7 linked regions of the Xenopus tropicalis genome follow. Each later gene encodes a partner of the first gene's protein in a complex. Links are inferred from orthologs where the notes say so. Each region holds a gene or a part of one and is shown in the gene's direction. Other genes may lie near its edges.

Region 1 (4,298 bases):
ACTTACGATACGAAAGTTCCGAAATTTTCATATTGAAACGATTGTTTGCGAATTGTGATCCGATAGTCACGAAATTTTCGTATCCGAACAATTGTAAATGGCGGTAAAACCTGACTTTGAACCTTCTGTGCATGTTTTTGGAAGCCTCCCATAGGACTCAATGGCACTCTGCAGCTCCAACCTGGCCCAAGGAAAGTCTCCCATAGGGCTCAATGGCACTCTGCAGCTCCAACCCGGCCCAAGGAAAGTCTCCCATAGGGCTCAATGGCACTCTGCAGCTCCAACCCGGCCCAAGGAAAGTCTCCCATAGGGCTCAATGGCACTCTGCAGCTCCAACCCGGCCCAAGGAAAGTCTCCCATAGGGCTCAATGGCACTCTGCAGCCCCAACCCGGCCCAAGGAAAGTCTCCCATAGGGCTCAATGGCACTCTGCAGCTCCAACCCGGCCCAAGGAAAGTCTCCCATAGGGCTCAATGGCACTCTGCAGCTCCAACCCGGCCCAAGGAAAGTCTCCCATAGGGCTCAATGGCACTCTGCAGCTCCAACCCGGCCCAAGGAAAGTCTCCCATAGGGCTCAATGGCACTCTGCAGCCCCAACCCGGCCCAAGGAAAGTCTCCCATAGGGCTCAATGGCACTCTGCAGCTCCAACCCGGCCCAAGGAAAGTCTCCCATAGGGCTCAATGGCACTCTGCAGCTCCAACCCGGCCCAAGGAAAGTCTCCCATAGGGCTCAATGGCACTCTGCAGCTCCAACCCGGCCCAAGGAAAGTCTCCCATAGGGCTCAATGGCACTCTGCAGCTCCAACCCGGCCCAAGGAAAGTCTCCCATAGGGCTCAATGGCACTCTGCAGCTCCAACCTGGCCCAAGGAAAGTCTCCCATAGGGCTCAATGGCACTCTGCAGCTCCAACCTGGCCCAAGGAAAGTCTCCCATAGGGCTCAATGGCACTCTGCAGCTCCAACCTGACCCAAGGAAAGTCACCATACCGAAGCTTGAATGAATCCGAAACTTTTGTACTCTGCGCGACAATACCGTTTTGTCACGTAAATTTTGATGCATAGTACAAAAAAGTCTTGCAAATTAGCAAAAAAATGGTGAAAATACGTACAGTATGAAATATGATTTTTTTGTATTTGGAAGCGATCATACTTTGATAAATGGGCCCCTTAGACCAAAGGTTGGCAAACTTTTGTGGGGGATTTCTTTTTAATAAACAAAACCTGAATGCTATTTTTTAATAGTTTAAGGTCACAGCACCCCAATAGGAATTGGCCAGAATCCAAATTGACAGTATTTGCTACTCTTTAACAGGGCCACTATCACACATTGTCTTAGTTCTCTACTAGAGTCTTTTATGAAGAAAATTTGTACTGAACAATGCTAAATGCTGTATATTTGGCTATATTGTAGCTTCAGCAATAGTATTCCGTGGGTAACATCAGCCCGCCAAATCCCATCTGTGCGGAGATTGCGCGTTGCTAATAAAGTTATTGGGAAAAGAAATCCCAGCGTGCAGCGGGTTTCTCGGACACGTGATGCGGGTCAGAGTGGGCGCCAGACTGCATGCTCGTAGGACTTCCGGTTCCGTTTTGACGTCGGGTCTCCGTTAGTCCCCGGGTAGTGAAATCACAGGGAGAGAGGAGAGTGGCGGCTCTGTGGGTGAGTATGGGAAGTAGTTAGCGTGTAAGCTGTGTAACATTGCGTTTGGGCTGGTGTAGGCCTGAAAGGCCTCGGCCTGGAGTAGCTATTGATGCGGGGGAGGGAGGGTGTTGTCAGGGATAGATTTACAGATCGTACGTTCTGTGCGATTCCACGTAGGCAATCGTTGTATCTGTATTCGCGCTACGTTAGTGCAGTTTATCGTCATATAATGAAGCGCAAAATAGGGGCAGCCCAGTTTAGGGAAAGATACCAAACTTTGAGTTTCAGTTGAGGCACCACTTACACCGCAGGTTGGCAGGCCGGTTTGGGTCAGGACCTTCTGTCGGAACAAACATTAGGCTGGGGTCCACCGGAGTATCAGTCATAGTAAGTGGCCTTCCAGGAGTAAAACATTCTTCCCACATTTTCCCTATCTGCCCTTTAGTTGGGCCCCCTAAGAGCTTCAGCAACACCGCCTGGGAACCACTGACTTACACTGGTTGTATTTTGCTGTAGTTTATTGTATCTCATGGGTTTCACAAACACATGCGGATTATGTAATAAAAGGCACTAAATTTGCCCAGGTGCAATAACCCATAGCAACCAGTCAACAGGTATCATTTAATGGATACTTTTTATTGGTTGCTGTGGGTTACTGCTCCTGGGCAAATTTAGTGCCTTTTATTACATATGGGGGATCATTCCTACAGACCTCCCCCTGAGAACACGAATCGCTGAAATTTTTGCATGCCACACTGACATACCTATTCTGACCCCAGTAGGATATTTGCAAAAAAATCTGTCCCATTGAGAAACAAGAAATGTGTTGAAGCCAGGATGCTACTGAGGGTTGCTTAAAGGAAAACTATACCCCCGAACAATGTAGGTCTCTATAAAAATATATTGCACAAACAGCTCATATGTAAAACCCTGCTTCATCTAAACAAACCATTTTTATTAATATATACTTATTTAGTAGTATTTGCCATTGGGTAATCCTAAATTGAAAATTGCCATTTTAAGAATTAAGGGCCGCCCCCTGGGATCATAGGATTCACAGTGCACACAAACAAGCCAAGGCACACATACATGCTAGGCCCCATCAGCCAATGAATGGGCAGAGTTCTGCCTTTTACTCCCACACTACTTCCTGTTACAGTTAGAGCTGCATTATTTCCTGTCAACTGATCTCTGATTGAACACACAGCCCATCACTAAATGGCGGCTCAAGGGAAAAAGATGTAAAATGGCAATATTTACTGATATATATATTCCGGTTTGGTGAGATTCTTTAATAGTTCACTTAACATAATATAAACTGTTGGATAAGTATTCATTTTGTGGGTATAGATTTCCTTTAAGGTTGGTTATATTCCATAAAAAAGTAGTATGGGAATTCCTTTTGGGTTAAAAAAAAGCTTTTTGAGGTCAAGCATTTTGTCTGCTAGCCCCTAAACCTGTTATAGCTTTACAGATATAGGAAAACTATTTTTCATATTTATTTTCATAGATATTTGGGCTAGTAAGCAAGTCTTTATTCCAAATCTTGCTGTATAGGATCAATTTTTTTTTTTTAGCTCTAACTAGGGGAGCAAAGGGGCATTCCCTAAAGATCACCCCCGAATCTGTATTCTCCTTGCCCTCCACCATTATAAGAAGTGGGGAACATACTTCTATAGAGTTATTACAAGTACATAAAGTACTAGAATAGTAAATGTAACATTCACTAAAATTAGCAGGAATATACTAAAATGAAGTTAGAGAAAGATAATGAATTTTTCTCTGTGGGTACAGAGTGATACTTTGCCTCTCTGGGCAAATGCTAAATTCCTCCCACTGACACAGCATGCAGTTGAATGCAAACATTTGGTCCTCCCTGACCAAAATACATATTAAGTTAATTTTTCTAATTGAAAAGGCAGTGATCAAGCTGAAGGTTTTGGAATGGCCCTCACAATCCCCTGACTTATCTGCAAGCCTGTTGGTAGATCATAAACATTCATAGCACAGGCCACAGAATATCTCTGCAGGGATCTGCAAGGAAACGTGGGCAAAAATCCTTGAATAGAATTTTGTTCTTTTATTAGGCAAAAAACTTATTTTGGGATGACATGTCCTTTAATTACATATGCCATTTGGCAAGGGGTGCCCAAACTTTTTGAGGAAAAACATGTTTAATATGTCTGTTATCTATCTTCTTTATTAATAACATTGGCAAGTTTCCTGAATATAAGCAGATGCGTATATGTCTATACGTATATATCAGTCTGTAGTACAACTGAATCTGTTAGATTTGTCTGTTTGCAAAATGGGGTACATATAGGGCAGCATGGGGGGTTAGCTTTGCTGCTTCCAAGAGCCTTGTCTTGGATTTGATTCTGACCACATACAAAAAAACACCGTTTAGTGGAAGCTCAAGAATAACATGAGGCCTGGGTGCACGTTGCCCATACTTGCTGTTTGAGGAGACAACCCAGGATATGAGCTGGCACTTAGAGACCAACAAACAAATTATAATGTAGACTTTATTACACTAACCTGTCAGGATACAAAAAGCATTATGCCTTTCATGATAAAGTGTACAAGGCTTTTTAGAGGGGTTATGGAGTAAAAGCACTGTGTTTGCCCAGGAGCAGTAACCCATAGCATTTACTGGTC
Region 2 (4,053 bases), on another chromosome or scaffold:
ATTACATTGAGAGAAAAAGAAGTCTTTCCAACACCATCAGTTTTTATCCTTGTGGCTGCAGGAGCAGCATGCAGCATTCCCTTCCGACAGACGTGGTGTTGGATGGCAAAAGTTACTACCTCACGTTTTTGTATCAGTCATTATATTTTGACCCACGTGATTACCAATCCACAGGTAAGCCCTTGACATAATTATTTGCTCTTTATCTCAAAGCTTAAAAAAGGCAGCAGTTGAGAAAAACTAAATGAAGGCTTAGGTAAACAGAAGGTTTCTAAGTGATCTTAGCAGGAAGTTGGGAACTGGTTCTGGAAATTTCAGAATGTTAGGTTTCAAAACATTGAGTTTTAGTAAGCAAATGACACACTGTCACTCTACATGCAGAAATCTTGAAATTAGGTAGAAGTTTTAATGACAGTTACAAAAACTAAACTTTTTTGTAGCAGCAGAGACTTTGAATGAATCATGCTGAATTTTTAAAGTTTAAATACAAGTAGTTAAAAAAAAGGTGACTAATATCAATCATCTATGGCCCTCAACACTATGCTCATGTAATGTGCAGGAACCAAGCAAACTGTGCAGTTGTTCAACACCTTGGAGGGCAGGCAAGCAGCATAATGCCTCTAAAGTACAGTATCAAGGGGTGGCTTACAAATTCTTGTCCTCTAAGATAAAACAATATTTATGAGTTTTGTAATTGAACACTACCCTACAAAAAATTAAAACAGAAATATATAATTTTCTGGATAAAGTATATCCCCTATAAATGCTAATGTTTAGGTACAGAAGTGACTGCAATCCTTTCCCCTTTTAGTTAAACAAAACACAGGCCAGAGGTACTTTCATGCCTCCTAAGAGCTGATTCAAGCTGAGCACCTGCTACATACAAAAACATCTGAAAAAGTTCTATACTTCGAATGTACTCGTCTAAGTTGGCACCTGGGCCCCCGTAATTTGTTCTGTATTGATCGGGGCTCCTATTAATTTACCTAAACGTGAGTGGTTGAAGTGGATGGTTAATATGCTGTACAGAGTCCAGAGCTGCTGGTTATTCTACATCTGACAAAATACCCGGCCAATTAGCAATCGCAATGAAGCCAAGCCGATTTTTTGAACATTCATTATTCTGGCGCAACAACAACTTTTGCAATCATTGCTTTGAAACATTCTTCTAGCCACGCCCACGTCCCCTGTTCGCTCTCTTCCGCCATATAAGGCCTTTTTCTGCTCGTCTGTTGATTAATCTTCCCTAACCAGGAAGTTTTTAGCGCTTGCGCTCGACTGCATAATGAGATCGGCAATCGATTGCTCTAGGTAGGTGACAGCGGGAGATTACGAAAACAGGAGGAAATCCGAAGTAAGGAATATCAAAGATGGCGGCTACCGTGACTCCCAATCCGTCGCAGCTTCTCCCGCTCGGTAAGGACTCTAGGAAATATGTGACTAGATCTATTCCAGTTCGAGACCTTTAGTGTGCAGTTACTAATTGGCTTTTATCTTCAATGGCGCTGTCCTATTTCATGCGACATGCTTTCTTTGAACTCATATTTGTTGTAGAATTCTGATATGTATGTGGCTTACTAGGGTTGTGAAGTACAGATGTAGTGTACCTGGAGTTAGCACTGTTGCTTGGGTTAAACAGCACCTGCTAGGTGACGTGCTTTAGGTTATCGGGCAAATGATGGAGCCGCATGGCAGCCCTGCGTTAGACAATTTATATTTTATACTGAACCTTTTAATTGTAAGCAGATAAAAAAAGAACAGAATTATTTTCTAGTTGATTTTTAGTTTACCTAGGAAAACTGTACATCATTCTTTTCTTGAGAACCTGAGCTCTAAATCTGAGTTTTTGTGTATTTCCACTTCTGGAACAAGATTTAGAGCTCTAAAGGCAAATAAAAGAAAAAAAAAAAAATATGATTATAGGGATTTATACCAGAAAAATCTTTTATTTTATGGATAAAATTTCAACTTATTCAGAAAGCCTAATATCTCTTGAATGTGCCTATACTAGGTATGTATAATTTTATGGAGATGTCTGACTTCTATAGATCGAAAACTCCCAGCAGTAAGTTATTGAAAAAAGTGTTACAGCAGAATAGGGCATACTTTAGATTCCATAGCCAAAAATCCTGAAACATTAGGTTTACCCCAGGATACCATTTATATTTTTTAAAAGTGCACATTCAACCAAATCCGAAATAGATAACCGTGTCTTTCTACTCTAAATGACTCCAAGGGGCTGATTTACTAATCCACGAACGGTCCGAAAGTGTCCGAATGCGTTTTTTTCGTAATGGTCTGTATTTTGCGATTTTTTTCGTAAATTGTCGCGACTTTTTCGTAGCCGTTACGACTGTTTCGCAAATTGTTGTGACTTTTTCGTTGCGTTACGACTTGCGCGAATTGTCACAACTTTTTCGTAGCCTTCGCGCCGAGTACGAAAGTTTCGGATTCATTCAAGCTTCAGTATCGTGACTTTTCTTGGGCCAGGTTGGAGCTGCAGAGTCCTATGGGAGGCTTCCAAAATCATGCTAAGTCTGAAAGTTTTGCCCGCAGTTTACGAGCGCTCAATACGAAAAAGTCGCGACAAGATACGAGCAAATCGTAACGGCTACGAAAAAGTCATGACAATTTGCGCAAGTCGTAACGGCTACGAAAAAGTTGCGACAATTTACGAAAAAGTCGTAACGGCGACGAAAAAATCGCAAAAAATACGAAAAAGTTGCAAAATGTTCGTTTTCCAATCGGAATTTTTCCCATTTGGATTCGTGGGTTAGTAAATCAGCCCCCAAGTGTCCGAGATGAAATAGAAATGTTCATCTCTGATACTGGCTGCTGCAATAGAAGCACCCGGTATGTGTATTATGTACCATAAGACGTCCTAACAATACGGAGCCCCTCGAAAACCGTATATTTTCCGAAAGTACATATTTTTATTAAGGCAAAAATGGCTAAATACATCTTTCTACTGCAAACTACCAAACAAAACTATGCTTTTTTTCTTTTTTTTTTTTTTTATTCCTGAAGGTTTAAATCAGTGGTTTTCAGACTTAGGTTTAGTCGCCCTCTTTCCTTTCAGTTATGCAGCTTAAGATCCAAGTACATTCAAATACATTTTTATACTAAAATGTGCTTTTAGTCTGAAGTTCAAAAAATATTTGACAGGCGATAAGTATTTACCACCACAATTTAGAAACCTTTGATTGTTCAAGTTTTACTTTCAAACCTAATTAATATATACACAATGTAAAATTATTTTTTGTATTTTAACATGTATTTTTACTTTATTTTTGCCTTATTTTAAAGTGTATTCTTAATTTTTTTTTTATTTCTGATCTTGCAGAGCTTGTGGACAAGTGCATAGGATCTCGCATTCATATTGTTATGAAGAGTGATAAAGAAATTGTTGGAACACTTCTTGGCTTTGATGATTTTGTCAGTATCCTTTGTCTGCTTACGCTTAGTTTTTTGTTTATTGCTTCAGTTATACTAATTTAGAATGTACCAAAATAAAATACCGATTTACCATCAGCAATAGACTCCATTCAGCATTCTAGATCAGCGTTTTTCAACCACTGTTTGTGCCGCGAGATGTTGCCTGGTGTGCCGTAGGCAGGGCCGCAATTTTTACTTTAAAAAAAAAATCCGGGCCCTGTCATTGGTTGCGCCCCGTGTGTACGGGTGACGTCAGTACGCACGGGGCGCAACGTTATAAAAGGGCCTGTGTGCGGTCGCGTGTAGGCAGAAGTGCAGAGGCGGCGCGCGTGAGGGGAAGATGCTGCTGAAGCCGCCGAAGAGTAAAATGCTGCTGGGCACCAATGTATTAGGGGGGGCCACGGGGCACACTGACTTATGGGGGCACTGCTGCTGGGCACCAATGTACTAGGGGGGCACTGCTGCTGGGCACCAATGTACTAGGGGGGCACTGCTGCTGGGCACCAATGTACTAGGGGGGCACTGCTGCTGGGCACCAATGTACTAGGGGGGCACTGCTGCTGGGCACCAATGTACTAGGGGGGCACTGCTGCTGGGCACCAATGTACTAGGGGGGCA
Region 3 (4,012 bases), on another chromosome or scaffold:
CACTTGGAAGTATTCATATTCTTCAGACAGAAGAACACAAAGTAGGGCCTACAACAGACCCTATATCTCAGATATCAATACTGGCTCAATCAGGTCAATTCGTAGCAGGAAATATTTATTCAACAATCTATACGAATTTAATGACTGTCACTAGGAAGCCCGTGACAGCAAACTCCAGTTAAATATTTAAATACTGCGTATAGGAAGCTTCTGGGGATCAGCAAAGCGTGTGTACACAGAAAAAGTCAGGAATTCGGAACAAGGTGGAAAATCATGGATGGGCGGGGCTTTCAGAAGGTATAAAAAAATTAAAGTGAATTTTCGAAAAACAGCAGCACCTTCAATATACAGGTGGCAATGGCGAAAATAAGGTAAATAAAACGCGTAAAAATGATGTTCTGCATTATGAAAATGTAATTGAATATCACTCACCTCTGTTACAAACAAACCCCATAACAGGAAAATCAAAAGAAGCTTCATTTTTCCAGGTCACGAGCCTTAGCAAAGCAACACTCAAACCGCCAAGCACCATTTGTTAACTGTTACTCAGCGCCATCTCCTGGGCCTGCGCACTACATCCAAGTCTTCAGGTTATCCTCCCATTCGCAATGTATTAGTGACAGGTCCCAAAGGCCAAGCCCCATAGTAGAGCAGTTCAATAGAAAGCTGTAATGAAAATGGTAGATGACTACAGGATGTGACGTAACTACGCACGCTACACGCCATATTTGTTTATGGAAAAGTGATTCCAGAAAAAAGTGAAAGGGTGAAAAAAAAAAAAAACGCCCGCCCCACAGGCATAATATTTTTTACAGAGTGTGGGTAATTCAAAATGACTTAATCCATCATATAATTTTGCGATTTGTAGACAGAAAATAAGTTACCATTCACAACTATTTATTAAATTAGGGTTATACACCTAGTCACGGCGACATTATAATTGTCGAGGGCAGTCAATAAAGCTATTTAAAAAAAAAGAGAAAAAAAAGTAGACTCTTCCAAACCAGTTAAAGTCGTAGGGGGTGTGAATGAAATTCCTCAGTGAAAATAAAAAATACATAGCGAAGCACTTTCTTAAGAAAACTTTTAACGTGCTTAACTAGTTTAGTCTAGTACTTCATAAGGATGGAAGAGAGAAGTTAGGAGGAGCAAAAAAATTAATCATAATTAGGTGTACAGGTGCCCCCAGAGCTGATTAAAATGGGTACGCCTGCCCCTAGGAACAGAGGCGCGGGAAGATGGCGGTGAGTGTGTAGAATTTAGTGAGCTTTCGTCCGGTAGAGTTGGTCAGTCATATATAGTGGATTATGGAACGTTTTTTCTTTTTATTGCGTAGCGGGTACCCATGATTAGAACATATTGCTAAAGACTGTAAAACAGTGGGAGGTGATTAAGAGGAACCGTAATTATGCGTCCTATCACATCCACTTAAGACGCCGCGCACGCGGCAAAGTACTCATGCGATGAGGTATATTCGCAGCCGTGTGTTTCTTCTTTTTATGAGCTGGGTTATCCAAAGTGTTGTATATAAAGTGGTCAGTAAACAACTCTTAATTATATCCGAATTAAATGTAGTTCCAGGGAAGGAGAGGCAAGGAGCCCTAGGAGAGTCATGATACAGATCTAATGACAAACTGATCAAAACAATTGTTTGAATGGTGCTCCTTTCCCCCCCCCTCTTAAATGAAGACAATACCCCCCATACATTGTAGGTCTCTATAAAATATATTGCATGAACAAGCTGAAATGTAAAACTCTGCTTTATCTAAAACCATTTTCATAAAAATATACTTTTTTTTTTTTTTTTTTAAGCAGATTGTGCTATTGGGTACTCCTAAGTAGAAGATAGCCATTTTAAGAATTAAGGATTGCATAGGATTCACAGTGTACAAAAAATGCAGAGACACACACACACACACATGCTAGGTCACATCAGCCAATGAATGGACATAGTTTTGTCTTTTGCTTCCAAACCTTTCCCTGTTAGAGCTGCATTATTTCTGGTCATGTGATCTCTGAGGGAGCACACAGCCCATCACTAAATGGTGGCTCAAGGGAAAAGATATAAAAGGCCAATATTTACAGATATATTCCAGTTTTGCGAGATTCTTTAATAGGTCACTTAACATAACCAAAAGATTATATTTGTTTTTTATTAAGTATTCATTCTGGGGGTATAGTTTTCTTTAACCTTATCTGAGCTTTAAAACTTTTGGAGCCATATTTTCTCAAATCCTCTTACTATATAGCCTAGTATTGCTCTTAGCAGCTCTAAATGTATAAACATATTTGATTGTTTTTCCCCAGGACAAAGAGAAAAAGAAAAAGGAAAGCATTCTAGACCTCTCCAAATACATAGACAAGGCAATTCGAGTAAAGTTTCAGGGTGGAAGAGAAGGTATGCTTTCTAAATGTGAATTTCTAAAGAATTCTACTTTGCCATGCATTCTTAAAACAATTATTACTACAAAGTACTGCTACTAAAGCTTTGCCATACGTTATAAGATTCACTTGTTTGACAAGGTCGCTGAATGAGTGTGTCTTTCACTGATATGGACCTTAAGGTGGGCAAAATTGGGCTGATTGTATCAAAATTGTCTCTATGCAGGCAAGTAACTAGGACTACAGCAATCACAGATGTAGTCCTTGATTCAACAGGAAAATCAAACCTGCAATCTACATTTTGTCTGTATACAGTATGCTACAGTATGCAAGACGTGGCAGTTATGCTGTAGCTTAAGTACTTGAATTACTTCCAGAATAGTTGCTGTGTGCTACAATTTCAGAGATAAGTTAGTAACTTAGGTTGGAACATATTCAGAACATATTCAACCTTTTATGTCTAAATGAAACCTTTCTAACTGCTAATTGCTCCAGTTTTGTAAATTCCCACTATTGTTATCAGATCACATGAAAAATATGCACATTTTTAATAAATCCAAATTGTTAGGGCTGTTTATTTGCAAAGTGATTGCATTTTAATTAATGCAGCTGGATGTTCCTGACTTGTCTCTGATTTTTCAACTTTAGGTCTTCTAAGGTAAAGACCTACATTTTTTCATCTGTGCATTTCTTTGCAGCAAAAGATACTATCCTTTATTTTGTGCAATAGAAAATGGAGAGAGGTGCTGCAGGGGTTGCTTCCTCCTTAGGCAGCAGGGCTGATGTTCCTTCCCCAACCACCCTCACTCTTTTTACTTTTGTGCATTGCTTCCCCTGGTAGCCTGCCATACACTGCCATTGGTTGGCAAGTTTCTCACATATTAGGCACCCACTCCTAGTAAGTATAATTACTAACTTTCAAACCCAAGCCAGTGCTCCTCCAGCCTGGAGTACATTCCCTGTAAGTGCCGCCATCTTTTATCAGTCTTCCAGGATTTTTTAAAACCCTGCTTCATCTTCAGTAAACCTTCATCTAAATAAATGGTACAATCCAAAAGTTACGAAATTTTCGTATCCGAACGAAACAATCCGGCGCAAAAAACTTTCTGACTTTGAACCTTCAATGCATGATTTTGGAAGCCTCCCACAGGACTCAATGGCACTCTGCAGCTTGAATGAATTTCAAAACTTTTGTAGTCGTTGCGATAATTTCGATTTTGTCTCACAAATTTATTCAAAGCACAAAAAAGTTGCGGAAATTAACAAAAATATTGTGGAAAATACACAAAGTTCTATAAATTAGAAAAAATACAAATTTTTTGTAATCGTACCCATTCAGACTTTGATAAATCTGCCCCAGTGTGTTCACATACTTTTTTTGTGTGCGCCACAATTTGTTGTGTGTGTAGGGCTTAAAATGTATGTGTGGATCCTCCTCCAGCTCTAGGTAATTTTAATAAACCAAGTGCATTTTTCATTTTAAATATTTTTATTCAAATAAAAAATCTTAATGTATAGCCAATGCATAGGGAAATGTAAAGGGAGTGATTCTTATTTTAAGGGGAACACCTTTTATTCTGGTTCTCAAAATTATTGTCCAGCAGTGCTAGCAGGAACTTTGTATATAAAT
Region 4 (3,955 bases), on another chromosome or scaffold:
GCCCCAATACACAGTACCCCCCCCAATACACAGTACCTCCCATAGGCGCAGCCTTCGTCTGCGGCTTTGTTATGCCTCTCCTTGTGCAGCGCGACAGGCCCTTTTATAAGGTTGCGCTCCGTGCGTAATGACGTCACACCCACAGGCGCAACCTTATAAAAGGGCCTGTCGCGCTGCACAAGGAGAGGCATAACGAAGCCGCAGAAGAAGCAAGAACATCTGGCTACAGCAAGCGCATCCCGCTGTGCCGGATAGTTCCATGAATGTCCCGCAATGCGGGACATTCATGGAACTATCCGGGACAGCGGGATGCGCCGTAAAAAGCGGGACAGTTGGGGGGGTATGACCACAACCAGGAACTTAAAAGCCTTATTTCTCTGTTCCCTGTGCCTGGCATAAGCTAAATCTATTTAAATTTAAATAGTCTAGTCTAATCTAGTTAATTTAAAGGTTCTGTTGGGGCATAGGCTCTAGCTGCAGCTACTGGGCTGTGCATATAAAGAAAAGAAACAGCACATGTTCAACTCAAGTTCCATCTTCCTTTGACATTGGCCTCAAGGCAGCTACGTGCTGCGTAACCACGTTTATAGTATTGATGTGACGTCACCTTCTCGCGAGATGAGACTTGCGGTGCGTTGGCTCGCTGTACGGCAGGAAGCGAGGGGCTACACGGCAACAGCACCGCAAGACTTTTAAACAACCGTACGGGACTGCGGACTGTATTAGTTAAATCAGCACAGTTGGGTGGTATGTAGCCTATATATATATATATATATAAGGCTTTGGGGCAGCTTGTTGGTATAACTCAGGAGCTTGCTATTGATTCACATGAATTTGCACCAATACTCACCCAAAGTGGCCTTCAGGCAATCCCCCTGCCTCTACTGCAGCCCCACATTTCCCAGATTCATGTCGGATTGTTACGAGCAGCATTACGCTACAATTTGTATCCTCATCTGTAAACTATAATCTTGGGGGATACTTCGGACTCTTTAACCATTAAAAATATTTAAAATTTGCCCAGATAATTTTTAATTGAAAGTATTAGCATGTTAGCCTGTCAGTGTAGATGGGAGTATGTTTGTATCTTCACGCATTTGAGAAAAGTGTTTCATTTCTTGCAATACTTCTTTTCTTGTCCTTTTAGCTTTAAAGCAAAGCTGCCAAAATGTCGTACATGCTTCCTCATTTGCACAATGGCTGGCAGGTCGACCAGGCAATCTTGTCTGAGGAAGACAGAGTTTTAGTTATACGTTTTGGCCATGACTGGGATCCAACTTGTATGAAGATGGATGAAGTTTTGTACAGTATAGCTGAAAAGGTAAGATATATTTATAGCAGTGTATCGAAGACCTGCAGGTCAGGTGGGTTTGGATTAAAAAAGGTTCAGGCAGGTAGAAGGTCCAGATGCCTGTATGTATGGGCCTGCCGCCTTATCCCCTACACCTGCCTCTAAGCATTCCTCCAGCAGCTGCCCCCCCCTTTGGGGACATAAGTGGTGGGGACCCCCCACATGTGTGATTTCTCTAGCTGGTTCAAGGCATAGTTAAAAATGGTTTGGCAGGAGTGGGTCTTTTTCATACATATTAATATAGATTCAGGCCTTCTCCTATTTATCTTCAAGCCAGTGACTGGAACCACTGACTGGTTACTTTGGTCAACACCCCTACTAACCAAATAGCAGTGTAAATAAGAAAATGGAGCTCTACAGGAAACATGTTGATCTAAAGTCACAACCAGGAGACAGAGGGTTATGGTGATGCCGCTTTTAAACAGAGTATGGAGCATATTCAGCTTGAACTTAGGATGAAGAAAGTAAAGGCTAATGCACGACTCAAATACATTTGCAAATTTAAGAGAAAATAACTAGGAAATGCTCTAGTGGTAAATTATTCTATATAAAAAGGGGATCATTTCTTTTACCAGTTTAGTTGGTGATCATTACAGGGAGCCTTAGTTTAGAGAGAGGGGTAGAAGAGCAAAAATTGTGACATCATTCCATCAAGTAAGGGTGCTGTGTAGGTTGAGGCCCCTTGGAATATTTGTTCATATGTTTTCTGAGAACGGTGGGGGTCATTTATCAACACTGGGCAACTTTGCTCTTGAATAGTAACTCATGGCAACCAATCAAGTTGTTGCATTCATTGTTCTAAATGCAGTTAGCTGAAAAAGCCAATCATGGATTGGTTGCTATGGGTAACTGCCCAAAGGCAAATTTGGCCAATGTTGTGTGAGTGCTAATGATTCTACATATGGAACCTCAAAGATTAAGTATTTTCATGTTTGGAAATAAAGAAAAAACATAGAAAAGGCGAGATTCTGTATATTCTGTGTTATTTCACAGGCATCCCAAAGCACATACACTGCCTTGCTGTATTTGCGTTCGAGGTCTACTGTCTGGGGTGATTGAAGATCACAGGACTGGGCCCATTAATCGAATATCTTGTGATGAAGTATGTTATTACTATATATCTATTTTGGTATTTGCCTACATTTTTAGTTAGAACATAAAAATATAAATGTTAAAGTGGACCTAAACACCCCAAAAGAAATTAATGTAAAATTGGTAGTATGCTCTTCTGAGCACTTTTATAATGTACACTGATATAATGAATTTAAAACTGCAGTGCTCTGTTAAGGTAGTTACTGAGCAGAGAGGTTTCCTTGGTCAATGATATTGCCTACTGAGTAACTCAGTAACATCATTTTATGATGGCCAGCTGATCAGAACAGTAGGGAGCTGTGTGGTTTCAAATAAATTATATTATTATTGCAAAGTGCTTATATCTTAAAATGTTCAGTGTAAATAGTAAAAGTGCTGAGAAGAGTATTCTGAGCAGTTGTACAGTATTTTGCTTTTTGGGGTGTTTAATTCCCCTTTAAGTGTGTGGAAATTGTTTATTGATTATGGTGTTTCTTGTTACCTCATCTATGGTGCCGTAACTGCTGTTTTGAAGGTATTTCTTCTGGTGCAGAGATAAGCTAGGTGCTTAGTGCATTACCACATGGCTAGATCATGCTCCGAGTGATAAATGGTGCATCATATATGCATTTCTGTTATGCTGACTTGTGTTCTGTCTGTATCTAAGCTTTTGGCTGTTGCTGTTTTTTAAGTTACAAAATATTTTATGCTTTTTTAAGACTGTTCTTACATCAGTGTTGGTATGAAATATTAGCCTGCTAGGTCATGATGAAGGCAGATGCTGAGTGACAGCACAGTTAGCTGCATTATTTGGTTAATATCTGTTGCCTGTGAAAGAAAGTTATCCATGTGATTGAAGGATCTTTTTTAAGGGGGGGGGGGGGGGGGAGTATGATTTGTATTTTATTCCTACAAGTTATGTTTTAACATTTACCAGTCAGACTGTACAGTGCTGTATTCCTTCACTACAGTGTTTTTATCTTCTCCTTCACAGCTCTTTTATTTATTTTTGGATTTTTAGAGATTAGTTAACATTTTAGTTATTAGTTATCATTGTATAAAAACTCACCCTTTAATAAATATAACTGTAAAAATGTTATACAGTTGTATTGAGAGTTTTGAATTTCTTTCTGGGGAACTGTGTCAAGCTGTATTTAACCGCCATTTAGCACTCCAGAGAATGTGTTTCCACTGTTCTGAAGTCCAGTGGCGATGGCATTTACAACTTTTGTTTGCAATCACACTTTATGCTGTTAGTTTTGTTTGCCTCTGATTGGCCAACAACCCTTGGTGGCATTGCTTCCAGAGAACTTAGCAGCTCTGCTGTTGTGTAATGCTCACAACACACATAAATAAACACTCTAATCCTCAGAAGTCAATCACTTTTATTTTATTTATCCTTGGGGGGGGTCTGTTTGGATGAAAACCACTGATTAATCTGATTGCTTCTAAAAATGATTAAAGGAAAAGTAACACTAAAAGTAAAAAAAAAAGTAAGTACTAAAGTAAAAAATCTATTCTACCTTGCTCCAA
Region 5 (3,934 bases), on another chromosome or scaffold:
AATTTCTTTTTCCATAGATTATTAGCAACCCACATTAAATCTAATTGCTTGCCTGATACCCCAGGCTGGTCCTCCTGTTCCCTACAAAATTGCACTGGCTTAGGGTATTTCTAAAGAAGCTGCTCTTCACCATATTGTTTGACTTCTTTGTTCCAGTCCAGGCAGGCATATAAGCAGTAAAGTGAAAAACTGAGCTTTTTCGCCCTAACGCGCCCAAAGAAATGAAGGCAGAAGAGAAGATTGCACCAAAAGAGCTTCTTCAGAAATACCCTGGTCCAGTGCAGTTTTCAGCTAATAGGAGCACTTTCCCAGGGCATCAAGTAAGTGATTTTAATAAACAGGATTAATATTTTTCAAATATATGTCAAACCCAAAAATAATCTTTTTCCTAATAAAAGAAAACTTAATTCTAAGCAACTTTGCAATATACATTCATTACATATTTGTAATGGTTTTTGAGTTATTTGTATATATATACCAGCTATTAAAAGCAGTGTCTGCTTGTCCTTTTTATTCTCTACCCTGAGGGGTCTGGTGTTTGAAACAATGTAACAAACACCAGCAGATTTTACAGACCTGACTTGCTGGAGGAGCCTGGCACTTGCAACATTGTTTAAAATGTAACAACCAGGAGTTCAGCAAATGCTGCTTTCTATAGCATTACATTACATTTACAAATAACTTTTAAAGCACTAATAATCTTTAATAAATTGATATTGGAAAGTTGCTTAGAATTGTTTTCTTTTATTAGGCAAAACATTTTTGGGGGGTTGACATGTCCTTTAGCGCGCTGTGACTAGATATAATGAATAGCAGACTACCCTTCCACAACTACCAGAAACCACACTTCCCTTTGTTCGCTTAGTCATACTAATTTTAGAATACTATATAATCCCCTCTGCACCAAATAAATGTTTGTTTTTCTACGTCAGTTCCCTATAAGCAGAAACTACAGAACTCCTCTTTCCCTTAACCACGATGGCAGCGCCTTATGATCACATGGCCTGTTTATTCGACACCACCATTGGTGGATAGGACTAGCCCGATACTATTGGTACAGGAAGGTGTCACCAAAGGCTTCCTTTGCCCAACAGTCTCTGCGCTTGTTGTCTGAGCAACGGGCGGAAGTGACCGTGAGGGAGCGCGGTACAGAGCGAAACATGGCGAGTTACCTGGGTGGGACACGGGGTTTGACTACATTCGCCTGCGTTGTTCTTATAGCTAGAAATGGCGATATACTTGATTTGTGTGCTTACAATTTGGGCATGTTATAACCATTTAGTCTTACTAGTTTCTCTGTCACTCCTAGCCGGCATGTATGTTCCCGCCTGTCCTGTTAACTCATTGTTACACAGAATCGTCTCGGGTTTTTTTTAGTTCTATCAGGGTCCCGTTGCGGGCGAGCTCTGCAGCTTTATTTGTCTGGGTTAGGGAGAAGCTGGTGGAAGGACCTCTTGTGCAACATGTTTTCTTTAGATAATTGATTGGCTCATATAATCAGTGAAGGGGGATTTTTGGATACTGGTCTGAGAATTAAATATTTTACATATATTATAGGCAAACTATACCCCCTGACTGAGTACTTAACCAACAGATACATTATTTACTAAAAAGGAACCTATTAAAGAATGTTACCAAATTGGAATATATATTGGTTAATATTGGCCTTTTCCACATTGAGCCACCATTTAGTGATGGGCTGTGTGCTCCCTCAGAGATCACGTCAGGGAATAATGCAGCTCTAGTGTGTATTAAGATATTATTCATATCTTTTCACATTTAATTATAAGTTTTAGATTTCACTTTTTTGATTAACTTGTATAATTTGTGCTTAGTACAGGGCGGGCGGTTTTTCTTTGGGAGGCCCTGTAAGATGTATATTTGAAGCTTTGATATAGTATGTGCTTATTACAGGGCTTTAATGGTAACCCCGAAAAAGCTTTTGATATAGTAATGTATGATATATGCTTGTTACAGGGCCTTAATGGTAACCCTGAAAAATGTGCAAATTAAAAGTTTTGGGTATAAAAAGGGAAGTGACATGGGCATTCCTCTGATGAAGCACTTAGTGTGCGAAACGCGTTAGGAAGGAGAAAGGGTGCCAGGTAGCATGGGATGTACCTTCCATTTGGTATAGTATGTTTTATGTTATGTTTTTTGAATTTTGTATTTAAATTCTGAGCCAATAAATGGTTGTGTTTTTCACTGAATAATGTGTTTAATTATTGTATGGTATTTCAGGACCTTTCAGTGAGATACATCTTAGGTTTTCTTTCTCAATCTTACTAATTGTTATTTAATAATGCAGCTCTACCTGTAACAGGAAGAAATGTGGGAGTAAAAGTCAGAACTGTCCCCATTAATTGGCTCATGTACCCTAACATATATGTGTGTTTGTGTGCACTGTGAATCATTTCATAACAGGGGGTGGCCCTTAGTAATTAAAATGACTTTTTTTTTAACTTAGAATTATCCATGGTCACATACTGCTACAAAAGTATATTTTTATGAAAATTGTGTATTTTGATGAAGCAGTGCTTTAACTATGATCTGCTTTTTGTAAAATATTATTTTAGAGACCTGCATTGTTTGGGGGTATAGTTTTCCCTTGGCAATGTCCATCATGTGCTCTGAAAGTATGCATTTATAAAGAGTTAGTGACACAGCATATCATTTAGATTTTCTTTTTGAAAGGTCTTAGCAATCTTACTTTTTTAACTTACATCATGGGGCATTGTTCATTATTGGGTAAAAACAGATTACATTTTAAACATAATAAGTGAATGCAAAGTCCCAAATTAAAAAATTGTGCAAAAAGTCATGCATCTGTATTAAACTTGGTTAGAAAGTTCAGTAGTTAGTATAATAATAAGATAAGCACTACACTGGTTTTAATTTTGTTTCATATGCTTACTATTGAAGTGTGAAATTTTGGCATAAATTCTACTGTATGGTAATAGCTTTTATGTAATTAAGGTCAACAAGGATGCTTATTATTATTATTATTATAGTATTATTTATTATATATTATATTATTTAAAAGGACACATCATTATTGAAATAAAATAAGTTCTGCATCTTTAATAATGTGCCATCCAGCACACCACAGATAGCAAAATTGACAGTATAAATATGTTGCTTAAAACCTCTTATATTGCAAGTGTGTAATAAACAAGATAGGCAGAAATTGGAGTAGCATCATAAATAATTAAATGCTCCTTATTGGTGGGCTTGTTTCAAAGGGGAAGTTAACTGTTGCATTGGCATTAGGCATGTTATAGCTGGACCTGGCCAGGGGCTCTTCCTTTTTGGCTTTTTTCAGTCTGAAGATACAAATACTGTCAAGTTGTTGGGATCCTTGACCCTGGCAACTACAACAGATTTAATGTAAAGCTTTATTTTATTATTACAGGTCGTATTATTATTATTATTCCTTTCATCCCCCCCTTATTTTTACCTTGCAGTTTGATTTCAAAAAAGCTTTTTGATTCTTAGCATCCACATATGTTTTTGTTTCAAGCATTAGAATATCATTTTTTGCATAAAAAAAATTAAAAAAAGAAACAATCTGTGGCAAGGTGTAGCTTGTATTAGAATCCAGTTGTATATGCCTGAGTTAAAGTTAATCCTAAGGTCTCACTTTAATGACTTTAGTAAGTACAGAGTTTTGAAACCTATGTAAATGGGTTATTTTCTACAGGCCTCACACACTTGGGTCCAAAACACTGGTAAATTGACCTATTCTATCAAGATATATTGAAATTGCTCATTAGTTATGGCTCCGCTGGACTGCCTACACTCGTAGGCCCCTCTGCAACAGCAGGGTAAAAAAAAAGATGAAACAATGAAACAAATTGAAGGAGATATTGTCCTTGTGGAGGGCCCTAAAAAAAGCTCCACATTTGTTCTTTTGGCTTTCAGTCTGACAGCCTTG
Region 6 (4,247 bases), on another chromosome or scaffold:
TCTTATGTCTTTCCTGAACAGAGTAAAGGCCCCCATACACGGCCCGATTTTTTACTGTCAAACGACCGATTCCCGAACGATCCGATACTATCGTTAAGTTATCGTATAGTTGATGGTGTGCGAACGATCGTCGGCCCACTAATCGACCCGACATTATTGTCCCCAAAATCGATCGGCCAGGTTTAAAAATTTTAGTCGTTTAATGATAAAATCTGCCAGTTGGTGTGAGTGTCAGACATTTGTCTTCGAACGATTGTTCTCTGCGCATGTCATGATTGCCAGCAGCGGAAGTCAACGAACATAAATAAATAAATACCGCTTCCGCCACGACATTGGATCGTACGTAGATGTACGATTGTAAAAATTGCAAATTATCGTTGCCTGTGGATGGCATATCGTATGGAAACCCGGTCGCCATACGATCGTTTGTCGATATAATAGTTCGTCGCACAACGAGTGAAATCGCCTTGTGTATGGGGACCTTAACATCAGAACAGTTATCTGTTTTCCTTCTCAATGTATACTCACTCAGCTGTATGGTTGTAAGAGCTGACCAGTAGGCGGCGCTGTTTATAAGCAGATTAAAAGCTTTAAAAAATAATTGATGTAAAATGCAAATGTGACTAGAAGAGGACACTGACAAATTTATATTAACTTTTTAGGTTTTAGATATACTTTATTCCCCAGTCAATTTATTTGTTAGGGCCCAGGTTTCATACCCATATCAGTTTCTTGGGAAACCTGATTTCCCTGTACTTTGAATTTATGGAATAGTTTTGAAGGCCAAACAGCAACAAAGCTGCCAGTGGAGAGGGAGATTTTATGGGAAGTGATATACAAACAATAAAACCTCCCTTCTCCTCACAGAATACAGAGGGGATTTGGTGTGTTCCCTATGTGCAGCAGCCACAGGTAACCATAATTCTACCTACTGCATAAATACACACATACACCCACACAGAAGCAGAGCTCTGTTATAAACGCACTCTCGCCCACACAGCATCACGGCTGTGATCAGGCCACATTGAAATAGGAACTAAAAAAAAAGACGTTTCCGGTGTGGAGCGCTGAGGCGCTTGTATTAGCACTGCTTGATGTGAGAGCAAGGCAGACAGCATGGATATTTACAGATATGGATAGCTTCAACAGAAATAAATTTAATTGCACGGAACATGTGAATGCTACAACTCCACTCCATCCAAAACTAAACCTCTGTACTGCTTATATGTCAATGAGTAAATCAGGTTTAGTCACGCGTAAACGTACTGCTATTGCCACTCTCCCATAATCCCCTGCAAGGTTAGAAGCGCAGGCATATCGCATCGCCCACCAACTTCATGCGAATAAAGCGTGTAAAACAATGCACTGCGCCTGCGCATACAGCCTACAAGCAAGCCGCTTCTGGGATTGAAGCGCCGCCTCTTCTCTTCCGGTTTTGCCCCAGATAGAAATGGCGGTACCGGCTTCCAACGCTAACAATCCCATCGTATTCTTCGATATCAGTATCGGGGGGCAGGTAACACGCGGTGTTAAGTATAATACATTGAGAAAGCCCTGCATTAAATGATGATTCCATACTTACGTACTGAGAAGAATCTCGCCATGCAACACCACCTACAAACTGCAGCTGAGCAAATGGGGCTGCATGGTGTAGTGTAGTATTAGCAAGAAGGCTAAGTGTGTACTGTGACTGAAGGACAGATTTTTATATTCATAGCAGAAATTATTATGTATTTAAATTGTATTCCACGTGTATGGGCCCCACTGTTCTTTCCGATCTCTAAACCCTAAAACTTTACTGATGGTCCTAAACATGCACTCTAAGCCCTGAGAAAATCCCTAAATATGAACTCTAAAATTCTCATGGCATCCCAATTCATGAACCCTGCCCCCAAGGAAGACTGGGCGTGAACCCCAAAAGAGAGCCCAAAACAAAACTTGTAAAGCCACCAGACGGCTGATCAAACCAATTAGGGGAAAAAAGATCATCTTGGAAAGCTCTGAATATTATCCTTAGAATGTATGGAAAAAAGTCAACATGGAAACTAGACATTTTGGAAAATGTGTCAACATGAGGGCTAATTTGTCCATTCCGTGTCTTTGAAAAAGTTGTTCTTTCAAGCAAACTGTTGCTATACCTATTTATTCTGCATTTATTTAAATTAAAGTTATACAGAATATTAAAAACATTGGGTGGCCTAATTTTGTAAGCTTTTAAAGTTTTGTAATTGCTATATTTTATGCTATTCAACTTCAAATTAGTTTGCTTGTGTGTAACTGTGAAGAAAGGCATATATTCTGGGAAAACATGAAGGGTATGATGACTGTAATACCAATGTGCTAATTGTCTTTTCACAAAAAAAACTAATTTAATGTCCATTTACTTTTTCAGGAGGTGGGCCGGATGAAGGTGGAACTTTTTGCAGATATTGTACCAAAAACTGCAGAGAACTTCAGGTGAAGTTGCATGACTTTTGCTGTCAAAACTCTGGAGTAGTTATATAGCAACACTGACAAAGTTTGCAACTGCCCATAACCCAAAGCAACCAATCAGATGTTTGCTGTCATTATTTTAGTCTCACTAGATCAGTAAGACTAAGGGCTCTGGCACACGGGGAGATTAGTCGCCCGCGGCAAAACTCCCTGTTCGCGGGCGACTAATCTCCCCGAGTTGCCTTCCCCTGCCATCCCACCGGCGAACATGTAAGTCGCCGGCGGGATGGCAGATGCGGCGGCGCGATTTCGCGCAAATCGCTGAAAAAGACTTGCGAGTCTTTTTCGGCGATTTGCCGAAATCGCCTCGCCGCGTCTGCCATCCCACCGCCGGCTTACATTGTCGCCGATGGGATGGCAGGGGAAGGCAACTCGGGGAGATTAGTCGCCCGCGAACAGGGAGTTTTGCCGCGGGCGACTCATCTCCCCATGTGCCAGCTATCTGTCGAGCCTACAAAATAGACAGTACTGATAGGATTGTTTTGCCTTCAATAGGGATTAATTATATCTTAGTTAGAATCAAGTGCAAGGTGCTGTTTTATTATTACAGAGAAAAGGGAAATCACTTTATATCATTTGATTTACTTGATTATAATGGAGTTTATAGAAGATGGCTTTCCCTGTAATTCTGATTTTTCTGGATAATGGACTTCTAAATAATGGTTCCTATACCTGTATTATATCTAGCAAACAGTTTTTAAATAGCTTAAAGCTTTACAATTATACTAATAATATATTATCCACATAGAGTTCCTTTCTGTTTTGTTTCTCTCATCACAACTAAGTTCTTTAATATACAGCCCTCTGCATCTAAAAGAATTTGACAGCACTACTTTACACCCCTTGTTTCTTTTTTTCAAACCATCCAAAGGTCCCTTCCCACAGGCATTAATATTCTCACCAGCAATTTACATCAATGCTGGTTGTAAGGAAACTTTGGGCATTTGTCACCTGCACTGAAGGAGATTTAGTTTTAGTGTTTAGAAGTAAAAGTAAATGGAGGATAAAGTAAATTCATGAATTTCCCATTTCTGATGCTTAAAGCTGATGCCAGAATCAACCCATGTGGCATCAGTCTAAGGGGCTATTTCTGATATCAAAAAGAAGTTGTTGTAGACTAATGCATTATGTGCTATGCAGGAATGCATTGTTGTGCAAACAGATTACGTTAGGTAAAGTATCTGCTAATTGTAAATAATTCTTTATTTCTCATTTCAGGCAATTCTGTACTGGCGAATTTAGGTTTGTATCTGTACTTCTTTTGCCCCGATCGGGGGTTTGATCTAAGTAATGGGAGTAGACTGGAATAAATGTTGAAGCACAATTGTTTCCACAAATCCTCATAGTTAAGTTCTAAGAAACTGGCTTCAGTGCTTCTCTGTTTTCATTCATTGTGTAGCAAATTCTGCAAGAAGCTAAACTGTCCATTGGCTGCTTGGTGGGGGATTATGAATATAATAGCAACAATACTTTTTCTGTAGATCAACTAATACTCAAAATAGTACATTGAAATTAAACGTAATAAGCAATATGGCAGCTTTCCTGACAGGAAAGACAATAACTGTTTTAAAATATTAAATAGTGCACCGCAGATATTTTTAGCACCTGTGCTGTAATACTGACATCTGCTTTAAGGGTAGTAGAATATTTACTGCAGATTGCATTTGCAAATTAGTTCTGAGTTTATTTATACCCTCCATTGACGTTCAGGGCTGAATCATCGGATATAGAGGTAGAAACAATAGCAATTCTAC
Region 7 (3,998 bases), on another chromosome or scaffold:
CAATGTTAGTGGAAAAAGACACCAACAAGCGGATGAACTGGGAAGGGGAAAGGAGACATAATACAGAAACGCTGCACTGACTTCTCTTTCAAAAGATACAGGATTTCTTGTCTGTTTGTTTTCCTGTGCCAGAGACACGCAGCTCTCTCCTGCTCCCCCCTCCCTCAAGAATGCTAAGAACTCTCTCCCCCCCCCTTAGGAATGTGGATCTGAGCCAATCAGCAGGAAGCTTCCTCATAGTCTTACAAACTGAGCATGTACACCGGTCTTGGTCTTGCTGCATGAGTGAGGCATTATGGGAACCTTCTTTACAGAGCTCAGTGCTTTTTCTTCCTGTTTGGCTTCTGATCTTCTGAACAGGTGAAATATGGGGAGACTTAAGGGCACTATTGAGACAGCTGAAGGTATGCCTGCAGCTTGAGATTAAGAAGTGAGGCATTATGGGAACCTTCTTTACAGAGCTCAGTGTTCTGATCATCTGAATGGGAGAAATATAGGGAGACTTAAAGGAACAGTAACACCAAAAAATAAAAGAACTTTAAAGTAATAAAAATATAATGCACTGTTGCCCTGCACTGGTAAAACTGGTGTGTTTGCTACAGTAACACTACTATAATTTATATAATAAGCTGCTGTGTAGCCACGGGGGCAGCCATTCAAGCTGGAAAAAAGGAGAAAAGGCACAGGTTACATAGCAAATAACAGATAAGTTCTGTAGAATACAATAGTGTTTTATCCGTTATCTGCTTTGTGCCTGTGCCTTTTCTCCTTTGAATGGCTTCCCCCATACTACACAGCAGCTTATTTATATAAATTATAGTAGACTTTCTGAAGTAAACACACAACTTTTACCAGTGCAGGGCAGCAGCACATTATATTTTAGTTACTTTTATACACTTTCATTTTTTGGAGTTACTGTTCCTTTAAGGGCACTATTGAAAGAACTGAAGGTATGCCTGCAGCTAGAGATTAACTCTTTATTAGCCTTTCCTTCTCCTTTAAATGGGTAGAGAGCAAATATCAATTGAGAAAATATAACCTTTATATTTAGGCAGAGTTACTGAGGGGCAACAAGCCCTACATGCCCTCAGTCCCTGGGAAATTTGCTACAGGTTCTCAAGATTTTGGGCACTAATAAGGCTGCTCAGCCAATATGCACAATGTTTTCTGCTAAATCACAGAGGTTAGTACTGTTCCAGAGAGGAGGAGCCGAAATACAATTAGTGCAGTGCTGTCAGTGCCATGTGTATATCTTACTAAATCTATGTATGTGCCAATGGTTGAACCTGTGCTTACATGAGTAAGTCTGTATGTCTGATTTATAAGCTCCACCAACACTACTTTCCCCCCTAGCAGGAATTAGGCTCCACATTTTCATTTTCTTAGAATCCTGGTGAGTGGATTGTGCTTTGACATGGTATCTAATTATAAAAAATCTTTTTTTCCACTGTTAGTAAAACTAGAAAGTTTTGATATTTCTAAATATGTATAGCGATTTTTTTAATACAGGTCATGTAACTCCAAGGTGATATATATTACAACAGGGGGTGCATTATTTATTATAATACATAAGTTCCAGTAACTCATGAGATTACATCACTGAGCGCTGATTATATCTGATTCATCACTAAGTACTGTTTATAAGGATATCATTTACAGGATATTTGCAGCTCTTGGCTCACACAGGAGTTCTGCGTTTCCTGCATGTTCACCTCCATCCAGTCAATGAATATATACTTTTAATGGGACACCATTAAATAGTTTGCCCTTGGCAGCTTCCACCACTGCAAAACACAACTGAAGTATCATTTACCCATCAGATATAGAAGACATTAGCATTGCTATGCCACTTTTACTAAGTGTACTTCAGCTACCAAAATAAATGTTAGTTCCCACTTTTTTGGGGAATCGCAATTACAATAACTACATTCATCATTTCCTTATTGTATTTATTTATACTTCTCCTTATCTATAGTTATATGGGGGCGTCAAACACTTCCGGATAACCGTATCGTTTGTCAAAACAAAATGTAATGGTGAGCAATTTGAATTCTTTTCCGCATTATTTCAGACAACAGAAAAAACCCAACAACATTTAGAACATAGTCTGAGCCAACCTCCGGATCTGTAGGAATCGGACCGTCGCATATAAGCGCGGTGAGAGGGTAGGGCGTATGACGTATTAAAGAATGCGACGGACAAATATTGTTACGTAACAACTGCGACGGTGGTGGCAGACATTTTGGGAAACGATACATACACGGCAACTAAAGTAAGAATAATAATTTGCACTGCTGAATGTTGACACAATGTAATAGGATGCGTAAAAGAAATTTTTCAGTTTGGTTGAATGCGTTGTATAGTTTAGGGAGTGAGAGGAGGCGGGAATATTTGCATTCGATCCACGGGGATTGCACAGGTACCCTTTCAACCAAAAACTCCTTGCTTCCAGTTACTTATCGCCTTCATGCTTTGTAAGCATGTCTTGTACGTACCTGCCTTTTTTATTCTAAGAGCTCGAATGATAACTCTGGCCCTGTTATGAATTCATCAGCCCTATGCTGAACATCATAATGCAGAATTTGCCATTTATCCTTGGATTCTCTCAAGAAAAACAAGGTTGTTATTAGATTTTAATGCTCAGGAAGGGTCTTGTTTAAAGGAGAAGGAAAGTTAAAATCTCTGGGGGATGGCACAGTATTGTAACAGAGCTTACCCCATTTATTGTGACCACCTAGATCAATGTTTCGGGGGCTACACCCTCCTTGTGCCTGGATGGGACGTATGTCCTGAACCCCCTCCCCAAAAAAACCATTGATCTAGGTGGGCACAATAAATGGGGTAAGCTCCCCAACGGCATATATCGTTGTGTGTGAGCGGCTCCCTTACAATACTATTTGCTGGAGACAGGGACCTGCCAGTCCTATGGAAGGCTTGCACCACCAGAGCAGTGGATGTGATATTTATACAGGTGTGTGGTGAAAATGATTGTGTTTGTATCCCGAGCGGCAAAATGTTAGGCACACCCCAGATATTAATGCCATCCCACCTGCTAGAATGTAAATCACCGGTGGGATGGCATAAGCGGTGCTGCGATTTGCCGAAGTTGCCTTGAGAGGAAACGTCCACGACTTCGGCAAATTGCGGTGCCGCGTATGCCATCCCATCGGCGATTTACATTCTAGCCGGTGGGATGGCATTTCGGGGAGATTAGTCGTCCATGACAAGGGAGATTTGTCTCGCGGCAACTAATCTCCCTGTCTGTCACAGCCCTTGGAGTAAAAAATAAAGAGCTTTTTGCTTTAAGTTTGGCATTTCATTCTGTTGCACATGTGCACCTGCCAAAGAAAGAAGAGAGTGGTGACATGATGCTTGCTTTTTTGTAACAATGTAGCAGAAGCCAACTGATAAACAGTTGAGAAGAGCTGAGTAGTTGCAATTGGAACAGACAAAGGCTACATTTTGTGAAATGATTTTTATGTTATAAAAGTAATAATTGCGTCTTGGAAAGTTCCTTAGAACATCAGTTTCTTTCATTAAGAAGATTTTTTTATTTTTGTGTTTATATCCCCTTTACAGTTGGAGATTGTATATTTTAATTTTAAGGAAGTGTTGTTTGATCACCAGAGGTGTGTGTTTTTTTTTTTTTAATATATAAATTACTAGGCATTTATTAAAAGTTATTCCTAATGAAAACACATTTTTTTGTATGAAGGTACTTACAGCATCAGTACCATATTCTCACGGGTGTTATTTATTTTCTAACTCTCTTTTGGGATTTTTGATCCCTTAACTAGCACCTACCTATCTGCCCTGTGTTGTCTGTCCACTAGCTATTTTCATCTTTTACACAGTTGCTTATGCTTGTACCTCACTGTCTTGTGTTTCCAGAACAAAATATTTATACAGAATATACCACTAAATAGCAAACCTCAAAGGTAATACGTCTGTTTTAGCTTTTATAATTAGCCAAGTCTGCATATTTTCTGGGCTGTATT

Evidence for each region.
Region 2: prpf3 (region 1) and lsm5 share a complex: the UniProt entries of both Homo sapiens proteins name them as parts of the precatalytic spliceosome. The link is inferred for Xenopus tropicalis from reciprocal best matches to the Homo sapiens genes PRPF3 and LSM5.
Region 3: prpf3 (region 1) and lsm7 share a complex: the UniProt entries of both Homo sapiens proteins name them as parts of the precatalytic spliceosome. The link is inferred for Xenopus tropicalis from reciprocal best matches to the Homo sapiens genes PRPF3 and LSM7.
Region 4: prpf3 (region 1) and txnl4a share a complex: the UniProt entries of both Homo sapiens proteins name them as parts of the precatalytic spliceosome. The link is inferred for Xenopus tropicalis from reciprocal best matches to the Homo sapiens genes PRPF3 and TXNL4A.
Region 5: prpf3 (region 1) and lsm4 share a complex: the UniProt entries of both Homo sapiens proteins name them as parts of the precatalytic spliceosome. The link is inferred for Xenopus tropicalis from reciprocal best matches to the Homo sapiens genes PRPF3 and LSM4.
Region 6: prpf3 (region 1) and ppih share a complex: the UniProt entries of both Homo sapiens proteins name them as parts of the U4/U6-U5 tri-snRNP complex. The link is inferred for Xenopus tropicalis from reciprocal best matches to the Homo sapiens genes PRPF3 and PPIH.
Region 7: prpf3 (region 1) and sart1 share a complex: the UniProt entries of both Homo sapiens proteins name them as parts of the U4/U6-U5 tri-snRNP complex. The link is inferred for Xenopus tropicalis from reciprocal best matches to the Homo sapiens genes PRPF3 and SART1.

Annotation. Positions count from the first base shown.
Region 1 is NC_030684.2:127,698,570-127,702,867, reverse strand, and holds the start of prpf3 (U4/U6 small nuclear ribonucleoprotein Prp3), read left to right. Parts: upstream 1-1,498; 5' UTR 1,499-1,658; intron 1,659-4,298. UniProt on the Homo sapiens protein: Plays a role in pre-mRNA splicing as component of the U4/U6-U5 tri-snRNP complex that is involved in spliceosome assembly, and as component of the precatalytic spliceosome (spliceosome B complex).
Region 2 is NC_030682.2:61,893,525-61,897,577, reverse strand, and holds the start of lsm5 (U6 snRNA-associated Sm-like protein LSm5), read left to right. Parts: upstream 1-1,253; 5' UTR 1,254-1,370; coding exon 1,371-1,416; intron 1,417-3,343; coding exon 3,344-3,439; intron 3,440-4,053. UniProt on the Homo sapiens protein: Plays a role in pre-mRNA splicing as component of the U4/U6-U5 tri-snRNP complex that is involved in spliceosome assembly, and as component of the precatalytic spliceosome (spliceosome B complex).
Region 3 is NC_030677.2:92,742,502-92,746,513, reverse strand, and holds the start of lsm7 (U6 snRNA-associated Sm-like protein LSm7), read left to right. Parts: upstream 1-1,212; 5' UTR 1,213-1,238; coding exon 1,239-1,244; intron 1,245-1,448; exon of another isoform or gene 1,449-1,463; coding exon of another isoform or gene 1,464-1,535; intron 1,536-2,307; coding exon 2,308-2,398; intron 2,399-4,012. Other genes in the region: sppl2b (signal peptide peptidase-like 2B), read right to left, coding at 433-480. UniProt on the Homo sapiens protein: Plays a role in pre-mRNA splicing as component of the U4/U6-U5 tri-snRNP complex that is involved in spliceosome assembly, and as component of the precatalytic spliceosome (spliceosome B complex).
Region 4 is NC_030682.2:96,972,807-96,976,761, forward strand, and holds the start of txnl4a (thioredoxin-like protein 4A), read left to right. Parts: upstream 1-1,155; 5' UTR 1,156-1,168; coding exon 1,169-1,321; intron 1,322-3,955. UniProt on the Homo sapiens protein: Plays a role in pre-mRNA splicing as component of the U5 snRNP and U4/U6-U5 tri-snRNP complexes that are involved in spliceosome assembly, and as component of the precatalytic spliceosome (spliceosome B complex).
Region 5 is NC_030677.2:103,365,108-103,369,041, forward strand, and holds the start of lsm4 (U6 snRNA-associated Sm-like protein LSm4), read left to right. Parts: upstream 1-1,134; 5' UTR 1,135-1,160; coding exon 1,161-1,163; exon of another isoform or gene 1,164-1,176; intron 1,177-3,934. UniProt on the Homo sapiens protein: Plays a role in pre-mRNA splicing as component of the U4/U6-U5 tri-snRNP complex that is involved in spliceosome assembly, and as component of the precatalytic spliceosome (spliceosome B complex).
Region 6 is NC_030683.2:94,758,872-94,763,118, reverse strand, and holds the start of ppih (peptidyl-prolyl cis-trans isomerase H), read left to right. Parts: upstream 1-1,447; 5' UTR 1,448-1,450; coding exon 1,451-1,516; intron 1,517-2,392; coding exon 2,393-2,457; intron 2,458-3,711; coding exon 3,712-3,735; intron 3,736-4,247. UniProt on the Homo sapiens protein: PPIase that catalyzes the cis-trans isomerization of proline imidic peptide bonds in oligopeptides and may therefore assist protein folding. Participates in pre-mRNA splicing.
Region 7 is NC_030680.2:38,861,957-38,865,954, forward strand, and holds the start of sart1 (U4/U6.U5 tri-snRNP-associated protein 1), read left to right. Parts: upstream 1-1,198; 5' UTR 1,199-1,266; intron 1,267-2,071; 5' UTR 2,072-2,272; intron 2,273-2,332; exon of another isoform or gene 2,333-2,419; intron 2,420-3,998. UniProt on the Homo sapiens protein: Plays a role in mRNA splicing as a component of the U4/U6-U5 tri-snRNP, one of the building blocks of the spliceosome. May also bind to DNA.